Oryctolagus cuniculus: one gene and its partner. The protein of the gene in region 1 interacts with the protein of each later gene in a biochemical or structural test. Links are inferred from orthologs where the notes say so. Each region holds a gene or a part of one and is shown in the gene's direction. Other genes may lie near its edges. The genes, in order: RIGI and RNF125.

Region 1 (4,499 bases):
TTGAGGGGCTCAGTGGTACCTGATTTGAAGACTTACTTGAAATTTACAGCAAACGAGAGAGAGAAAGTGGTAGTGCTACAAGAGTCAGGAAATAGAATGGAATAGAATATAGTCAGAAATAGACTTACACACATAGAGTCAATTAAGTTTTTTTTATAGAGGTCCCAAGGCTATTTAGTGGAAGAAGGAAACATTTTGAACAAATGATGTTGCTAAAACGAGAAGTATGGAAAAAAATGAACCTGGTCCCTTATGACACATCACAACAAGATTAATTGAGATATCACAGACTTAAAAGTAAAAGAGAAAAAGTAAAAGAAAACAGTATGTTAATGACCTTGGGGTGGGCATAGATTTATTAAAGGGAACACAAAAAGAAATGAATAGAGGAGAAAACTGGTAAAAAGCACTCATCAAAAGACACCATAAATAAAGTGGAAAGGGGTAGGTGTGTTTGGGGTGATGATTAAGATGCTGCTTTGGATGCCTCTATCCCATATCCGAGGGCCTGAGTTAGAGCCCTGGCTAAAATGAACCCTGGAAGTAGGCTCAAGTAGTTAGGTCCCTACTACCCACATAGGAGAGCTGGAATCAGCGCTCAGGCATTTGGGGAATGGACCAGGGGATAGAAGTTTTCTTTATCTCTCTGCCTCTCAAATAAAATTGTGTGTGTGTGTGTGTGTGTGTGTGTGTAAACAAAAGGCTAGATGACAGACTGGGAAAATATTTTGAATACCTATATTTGACAATTTTGTATATAGAATAATCACTCTTGTAAGGCTATGTATCTTAAATATTTATTTATTTGAAAGTCAGCGTTACTGAGGGGGGGTATCTTCTACCCATTGGTTCACTCCCCAAATTGCTGCAACCATCAGGGCAGGGTTAGACCAAAGCCAGGAGCCAGAAGCTTCCTCCTGGTCTCCCACGTAGGTGCAGGGGCCCAAGCACTTGGGCCATCCTTCACTGCTTTCTAGCACATTAGCGGAGAGCTGGGTCCGAAGTGGAGCAGCCAGGACTGGAATGGGTGTCTGGGACGCCAGGGTCACAGGCAGGGGCTCTTACCCTCCTATGTCACAATGCAGGGCGCTGTGTAAGTCTATTTTAAAACATTCCAAAATTAGGCAGAAGTTTCAAATGCAGGGTTATATGAAAGGTCAGAAAGCACATACAGATGTGTCCAACATCATTAATTATATGAGAAATCAAAATTAAGGCCACAATAATGTATCATTTCATACAGACCAAGATGGAAGCCAAATGAATAAATTAAAAAGAAAAAAAAAAAAAGACTGACCTATGTGTGCATCTGCTGGCTATCCATGCACTGGAGCCCGCATCTGCTAAGGGTGCGAATGGAAACTGGCGTGGCCATTTTGGACAACAGGTGACAGCTTCCAAAAAGGTGAATGATACCCTCACCGTGGGGCCCAACTGATCTGGGGAAGGTGGTTAAACCTGTATGCATTTTTCAGAACTTAGCGAATCGCACCCTTCAATTGTGCGCATTTTGCTCTCTTTATACTTTACCGCTGTAAAAGCTTCCCGGGGCTTGGAGGTGGGGGAGGGTTGTCCTCCTCGGTTCCCCACCCCCCACCTCGGGTGAACAGGAAAGAGAAACTTGCAGAACTGGGGGAAGCGCTCGGCCAGGGCCGGCCCCGCCCTCCTGCGGCTGCAGCGAGTTGCAGTTTCGATTTTTCCTCCAGTTGTAAGTTCCCAGGCAGCTCCGCCTCTCAGCCGCGGTTGATTTCTTGGAAAATCCCTCCCCTCCCCGCTTGGCGTGCCCGCCTCCTCCAGCCCAGCTTTAAAGGGAGTCGGGCAGCAGCCGGGTGGGGTGGATCTCACCGGGCAACGAGGCCAGCATGACCGCCGAGGAGCGGAGGAACCTGCAAGCCTTCAGCGACTATGTCAAGAGGATTCTGGACCCTACCCACATCCTGAGCTACATGAACTCCTGGCTTGGGGAGGGTGAGTGGATGCCCAGCGGCGCCTGCCCGCCCCTTGGGGGCAAGGAAAAACTGAGGACTTGTTTTCCCCTTGCTGTTTTCCTTTTTAAATCGGTGGAGGTAACCAACCTTCAGAAACACTATTGGTTCAGGGTTTGAGGTGCACTAGGAAACCCAGGTAGGGACATTGAGAACCAGCGTGGTGAAGTGACTCGCTTAGGGTGCACTTTTTTTTTTTTTTTTTTTAAGGTTCAAAGCTGGGGAAAGAAACTGTCCTTTTCATTTATTTCCTCTAACCTTTGAGTTGGCTAGGTGCCTGCCTTTGTCCTGGAATTGGAGATTGAGAAATAAGATACAGCCCCTTCCTTAGTATGCTCTCCAGTCCAGGGGTTTGCCAGGTGGGGAGTGAAGGGTGAGGATACAATACTGTGGTACACAACGCTGTCCAAAATCCAGGCAAGGTGGTGCCTCCTCTGCGAGGTCTCATTTGTGCTTGCAAACGATGGAAAGGTTGAGAGGAGCTTGACTTTCCCCAGACTGAATGTTCAGGCTTTATGTTCAGGCTTTAGGACAGGTGTTTCGGGTAGTGAGTAGCGAATTGCTTTGTGCTGGACATTGGCAGAGGTATTCACACTTGGGGAGACAGAGGTAGGTGGTGTTTGCAAGGACTCCAGGTGGAAGACAGGACCTAGCAATTCCAGGTGCCTTAATGCCACTCCTGAAATGCTAATCAGCTTTTGGTAACTGCAGTGAAACTCCCAGGCAGGTACCTTGGGTGTTTATTGCTCTGTTAAACCAAACTCACCTTGTGGAGTGAGCAGCAAAAGAATGCCACTAAGGAAAGTGCACTTTCACTTTCTGGTTCTGCCCTGAGAGAGGTGTGGGCTCCTACACAATGTGAGGCCACGCCTCTTTAGAAATCCCTGGATGAAACCCTTCTAGTGTGCAGTCTCACCCACTCTCCCCTGTTGCAGCACAATCTCTACCTGCAGGGCCCCCCAAGCCTGGATCTTTGTCCTGAGTTCCAGACCTCCCCATTCAGTGATCTGCTGAACATGGCTTCCTGGATGTATCTAAGGCACACAGAATCAGAAGTCCAAATCTGGGGAGTCCTTCATAGATCCTTGCTGGAACAGTGAGAGAGGCAAGATGGCACATTGGAAGTTTAGTAGAAAGACCCTGGGACGGGTTGTTGAGAGCCTGTCATTTACGAGATGAACAGAGGGAGAAAGAGCTAGAAAAGAAACTGGAAAAGAGCAGCCAGATACGTGGACAAAAAGGCATCAGGAAAAACCAAGGCAGAATCATAATGGCAGATAATGGTTGGTAACTATGAGAACAAAAGCTCTGGGGCTGGTGCTGTGGTGGATCAGGTAAAGCTGCCACCTGCAGTGCCGACATCCCATATGAGCACCGGTTCGTGTCCTGGCTGCTGCACTTCCAATCTAGCTCTTTGCTATGGCCTGGGAAAGCAGCAGAAGATGGCCCAAGTACTTAAGTCCCTGCACGAGTGTGGGAGACCTGGAAGAAGCTCCTGGCTTTGGATTGGCACAGCTCTGGCCATTGTGGTCAAGTGGGGAGTGAACCAGCGGATGGAAGACAGACTGACTCTCTGCCTCTCCTTTTCTAAGTAACTGACTTTCAATTTTTTTTTTTTTTTTTGTAAAAGATTTTTATTTATTTGACAGAGTTACAGTGAGAGAGAGAGACAGAGAGAAAGGTCTTCCTTCTGTTGGTTCATTCCCCAAATGGCTGCCATGGCCAGAGCTACGTCGACCTGAAGCCAGGAGCCAGGTGCTTCCTCCTGGTCTCCCATGTGGGTGCAGGGGCCCAAGCACTTGGGCCATCCTCCACTGCCTTCCTGGGCCACAGCAGAGAGCTGGACTGGAAGATGAGCAACCGGGACTAGAACTCAGCACCCATATGGGATGCCTGCGCCACAGGCGGAGGATTAACCTAGTGTGCCACCGTGCCGACTCCTCAAATAAATCTTAAATACCACAAACACTATTAGAAGTAAAGAAACCTTTTTTATTTTTATTTTTTTAAAGATTTATTCTATTTATTTGAAAGACAGTTACAGAGAGAGGTAGAGACAGAGAGGCCTTCCATCTACTGATTCACTCCCCAGATGGCAGCAATGACCAGAGCTGCGCCAATCCAAAGCCAGGAGCTTCCTCTGGGCCTCCCATGCGAGTGCAGGGGCCCAAGGACTTGGGCCGTCTACTGCTATCCCAGGCCATAGCAGAGAGCTGGATCAAAGAGGAGTAGGTGGACTAGAACCAGTGCCGTATGGGATGCTGGTGCTTCAGGCCAGGGCTTTAGCCTGCTGTGCCACAGTGCTGGCCCCAGAAACCTTTAAAAAAAAAAAAAATTATTTATGTGAAAGGCAAAGTGACAGAGAGCAAGTAGCATATCCTAGATCTTCCATCTGCTGGTTGAATCCCCAAATGGCTGCCTCTACTGGGGCTGACCCAGTTGAAGCCAGGAGCCCAAAACTCTGTCCCAGTCTCTAATGTTGTTGCCAGGGGGCCCAAGTACTCGGGCCTTCTT
Region 2 (4,506 bases), on another chromosome or scaffold:
CATAAAAGAAGAGAGAGTTGGCCAGCACCGTGGCTCACTAGGCTAATCCTCTGCCTTCCGGCGCCAGCACACTGGGTTCTAATCCCGGTTGGGGCACCGGATTCTGTCCCGGTTGCCCCTCTTCCAGGCCAGCTCTCTGCTGTGGCCCGGGAAGGCAGTGGAGGATGGCCCAAGTGCTTGGGCCCTGCACCCCATGGGAGACCAGGAGAAGCACCTGGCTCCTGCCTTCGGATCAGCGCGGTGCGCCGGCCGCAGTGCGCCAGCCGCGGCAGCCATTGGAGGGTGAACCAACGGCAAAGGAAGACCTTTCTCTCTGTCTCTCTCTCTCACTGTCCACTCTGCCTGTCAAAAAAAAAAAAAAAAAATAGCTACAAGAAAGATATCTGATCCTTTGCATTCTGTTAATGGAAGTGGTGTGCTGTGTAAAGAGATGTGAGAAGAAAATCTCCTAAGACAGAATCTCACGACATAGCCAGGGAGAGGAGGCTAAGAATGAACCACGAGAAAGAGAGATGGCAAGCCAGAGCGTGTCCAGGAGGAGAGAGTGGCGAAGGCTGACAGAGTTGAAAGGACAGTAAGAAAAGGACTGAAAAGAATGTGTTGGAATTAGCCACATGGAAGTCACCAGCGACAATGATGATGGCATCCTTTGAGGAAAGATGGAGGTGGAGTGGTCGGTTCAGAACCCAGAATGAACTGGATAAGGCATGAATAATTTTTGAATGGAGCCAGCCATAAGGGAGAATCTGATGGAGAGATTTGACTTTGAGGAGGATGTAGGGCAGGAGCTGAAGAACAAGAAGGATGGATGGAGAGGTTTTTCTCTCTGTTTTAAAGAGAGGAATGGTTGCCTCTCTGTTTCTCCTGCGGGCGAGCTCCAGCTCCACACCTCTTTGTGTTCTCAGTTCCTGCTTCACTTGTTGCTCTTACTGCTCACCAAACTTCTTCCTAAATTGTTGAAGGGCGACTGCTTTTCATGATTCACTACTCTGCTCAAATATCGCTTCCGCCAAAAAGTCTTCTCAGGCCTTTTTGCCTTTCCTAGTCCTCCCTGTTTTATCTTCAGGGCTCTTACCACCTGAAGTGATCTTGTTCATTTATTTATTTGTTGATTACCCATATTGTCTCATTTAAAGTAGTCTGGGGGAACGTGCATGAAGCTTATGGCATTACCATGTGTTACACATATTATTTTGCATTTTAAGCATATACACCACGTGTGTTTATTATATATCATTATGCATTATTCCTTGCAACTGCATTCGAACTTGTAATTATCTCAAAAGATTTTTTTGGTACTAAATTCTGTGGAACTGGGATTTTGTGGGTTTATGGAAAACCATGCCCTCATCACCAGATTCTGGCATGCAGGGAGCACTCAACAGGGTCAAGATTTAAATCCGGGCCTGCAGAACCCTTTCCACTGCTTCTGCATTAATGGAAGATACACTGATTAGACGACCTAAGCAGCAATTAGCAGTGTCTCAGGAGACTCTCAGCTGGACACAGGTCATTTTTATAGCTTACTACAGTTACAACGCGGAGGACTGACATGACTGGCAACCAGGCGGAGCAAGACCAGGCCAGTACTTCCCTGAACTAGGCGTAGTGCAGAAGGAGGCTGTGTGTGATCGCCTGGAAGGTTCACTGCCTGCCCAGGTCCTCTGTTCTGCAGTTGAGGTTTCAGGTTTCAATTCTCTCAGGCCCGCGAGACCTTGCAGCGTGTACCGCGCCGCTGCTGCCTCCGCCTCCGCGCGCCAACCCAGGCAACTCCCGAGCGAGCATTGCAGAACGGCGGCCGCGCACTCAGCCTGCCCCAGACCGAGGTTAGGCGAAGCAGCGAAGGCTGTTGCTGGGCTGCGCTAGCTGAGCGCGCTGGGAGGCGGCGATCACAGCTGGGCTGGGACTTCCTTCCTCCACCGCAGGACAACAAACAACCGCCTGCAGGCACTGAGCTCTCGGCGGCTGCCTGGGCGAGAGGCGCAGCGATGGGCTCCGTGCTGAGCAGTGACAGCGGCAAGTCTGCGCCCTCCTCTGCCACCCCTCGGGCCTTGGAACGCAAGGGGGACCCGGAGTTGCCCGTCACGTCCTTCGACTGCTCGGTGTGCCTTGAGGTGTTGCACCAGCCTGTCCGGACTCGCTGTGGCCACGTGTGAGTGCCAGGGAAGCTGGGTGTGCGCGCCCAGTACTTGGGGAGGGAGCTGTTGGGGAGCCGAGGGCTTGGGGGTGGGGGGCTTGTAAAAGAAACCAGCGCTTTAGGAAACTGCTTCATGGAGAAACCTGGACCCATCCGTTGCGGGTCTCGGGGAACACGCCCAGTAGGAACCCTGCAGCCTGCTAGAGCTGCCTCGCTCCCGAAGCACAGGTGCGGAACTCCAAGGATGGGCATCCAGGCGTGGGACTCGCCGACAGTCAGGGCCTTGGTTGGAGAAACGGCACCCGCTCGGGCACCGAAAGGAGGCGAGAGCCGGGCGACGAGAAGGTGGGCTCGGGCCAAGCACACGCATCCTGCTGAACTCGGTCAGGCGGGGCTGTGCTGCCGTCTCCCCCAGAACCCCGGGCCGGTTTTGTTTTGCTGGAGCTGCGCACGTGCTCTAGACGCCTGCAGGGGCTCCTTTCTGGAGCAAACAAGGATCTGTGCAAACTGTGCTTCCACCCCCACCCCCGCATCCTTTTCCCAGCACAGACACCCGGGCCTCACAAAGGTCCTCACGTGCAACTGGAGCGTCCCAGGGACTTTCTGTGGTCATTAGCGTTTAACAACCTGCTGGGGTGGGCCTCGGGGCTTGAACGTTACAGTCGCAAGCCCGTGAATGAAGCAGTTTAAGGCACAACAGCGACAGGAGGTCTCTGACTACCTAAAGCGATAGAAAATGTTGGTTAAGGGTTGCTTAAAAATCAGGCGCTATTTAAAACTCACTGGCAGTGCAAAGCCATGGTGGTTTCTAGGAAAGCTTTAAAAGTCTATAAAATGGGCACCTCCTTAATGTGAGCTGGAGTAACTGGAGGCGAGAACTGGCAACATGAGTTTGTGTTCTCTGTTAACTTTATTTTTGTGGCTACGTCGACGCAGTGTGTGGCTGGACATGTGTGTGTGCGTGAATCAGGAGCAGGATGCACGTTTAATGCCTTCTCTGGACGGTGGACCAACTGTACTATGGTGGAGCCCCAGGGCGATGCCACAGTGGCGTCTGTAGGCTTTTGGCTTAGCAGGATAAAAGAAGTACCATATTATAAACGAAAGTGCACAAAACGTTTCTAAGCCGGCCTACAGGGGCCTTGACACCCTCAGCTTAGTACTGGTGAGGCGCAGTTTTCTCCAATGCCCATCAGTGAGCAAGGGAGAAAAATGCGCAGCCCACACATGTTTAAGTGAAGAGTGCTCTGGACACTATTCTGTGGCTGTATTTACAGGGCCTGCTGTTTCAAATTTGCCCTTACACGCAAGGCTTAAATTTGCCTCCATTCTAATGACTGATGTTTCCTAGCTTGTCAGATGTCACTCAATGACCCAAAGTCAAGATGGAAGCCAAAATGCTGTTGTGTAATGGGATAAAATACATTGATTAGTTCAGGGCAGTAATAACCTCAGGATGGGTACACTTAAATTTGATCTTTATTAGCCTGAAAACTTTAAAGTTTTGCCAAAGTTGAATAGTGGGCATTGAGTCTTGAAGAGTCCTGTTGTAGAATTGGAATGGGCAGCTTTGGTGCTGTAATGAACAGATTGAAAATTGTTTTTCGGGGCTTGCATTTGAATACTTAACTTTCGGTTTAGAATGTTTTTGCTTCTACTAAAGGATAATATGCCTTTGCAAAATGTTAACTTTTCGGTTTAATCTTTTTCTTTGTTACAATGAATAGGAAACAAGCAACTGGAAAATAGTTGTAAAATAGCCTAACAAGGGCTGGACAAACTGCCTTCCCTCACTTTACTGTTCTTTGTTTTGACAAATCTATGTCCATTGTTCTGCTGTGGGCAGAATTTCCATATGCCTCCTTTTGGCAACGTACTTGGGCCCCTTCCACTTTATAAATGTTAACCAGAGTCCATTTTGCACTGGGGGTTGGGAGTGTTGACACCATTTGTATATTCTAAATGAATTACTCCTTTCCATTGAACTGAAGCTGGAAAATGAAGAAATGCAACTGAAACCCTTCTATTTTATTACTCCATAATGAAACTAGATTTCTAAACTTGTTGAACTAGTTGTTTATGCTGATTTCTGTTTATACACCTATTTCAAGTGAAACACAATAATAAGAACAATACCTTGAATTAATACACCTATAGCACTTTGTAAATCATCTTGTGATGCAACAAAAACTGAGTATTACAGAGGGCTGGATTTGATATTTAACTCTGCCACTAGCCAGCTGTGTGGCCACCAAGTTGCTAAATCTTTTTGAATCTCAGTTCTTCATTTGTAAAATGGGGTGAATAATGCAATTTTTATGAGCATTTAAAATGTACAAACAGGCCATAATAAAGGCTCAAAACATGGT

Evidence for each region.
Region 2: of the proteins of RIGI (region 1) and RNF125, one has a biochemical effect on the other in vitro, tested with the Homo sapiens proteins (3 studies listed by BioGRID and IntAct, with this or other methods). The link is inferred for Oryctolagus cuniculus from reciprocal best matches to the Homo sapiens genes RIGI and RNF125.

What each region holds. Positions count from the first base shown.
Region 1 is NC_091432.1:195,900,906-195,905,404, reverse strand, and holds the start of RIGI (antiviral innate immune response receptor RIG-I), read left to right. Parts: upstream 1-1,625; 5' UTR 1,626-1,862; coding exon 1,863-1,968; intron 1,969-4,499.
Region 2 is NC_091441.1:45,620,422-45,624,927, reverse strand, and holds the start of RNF125 (E3 ubiquitin-protein ligase RNF125), read left to right. Parts: upstream 1-1,519; 5' UTR 1,520-1,988; coding exon 1,989-2,152; intron 2,153-4,506. UniProt on the Homo sapiens protein: E3 ubiquitin-protein ligase that mediates ubiquitination and subsequent proteasomal degradation of target proteins, such as RIGI, MAVS/IPS1, IFIH1/MDA5, JAK1 and p53/TP53.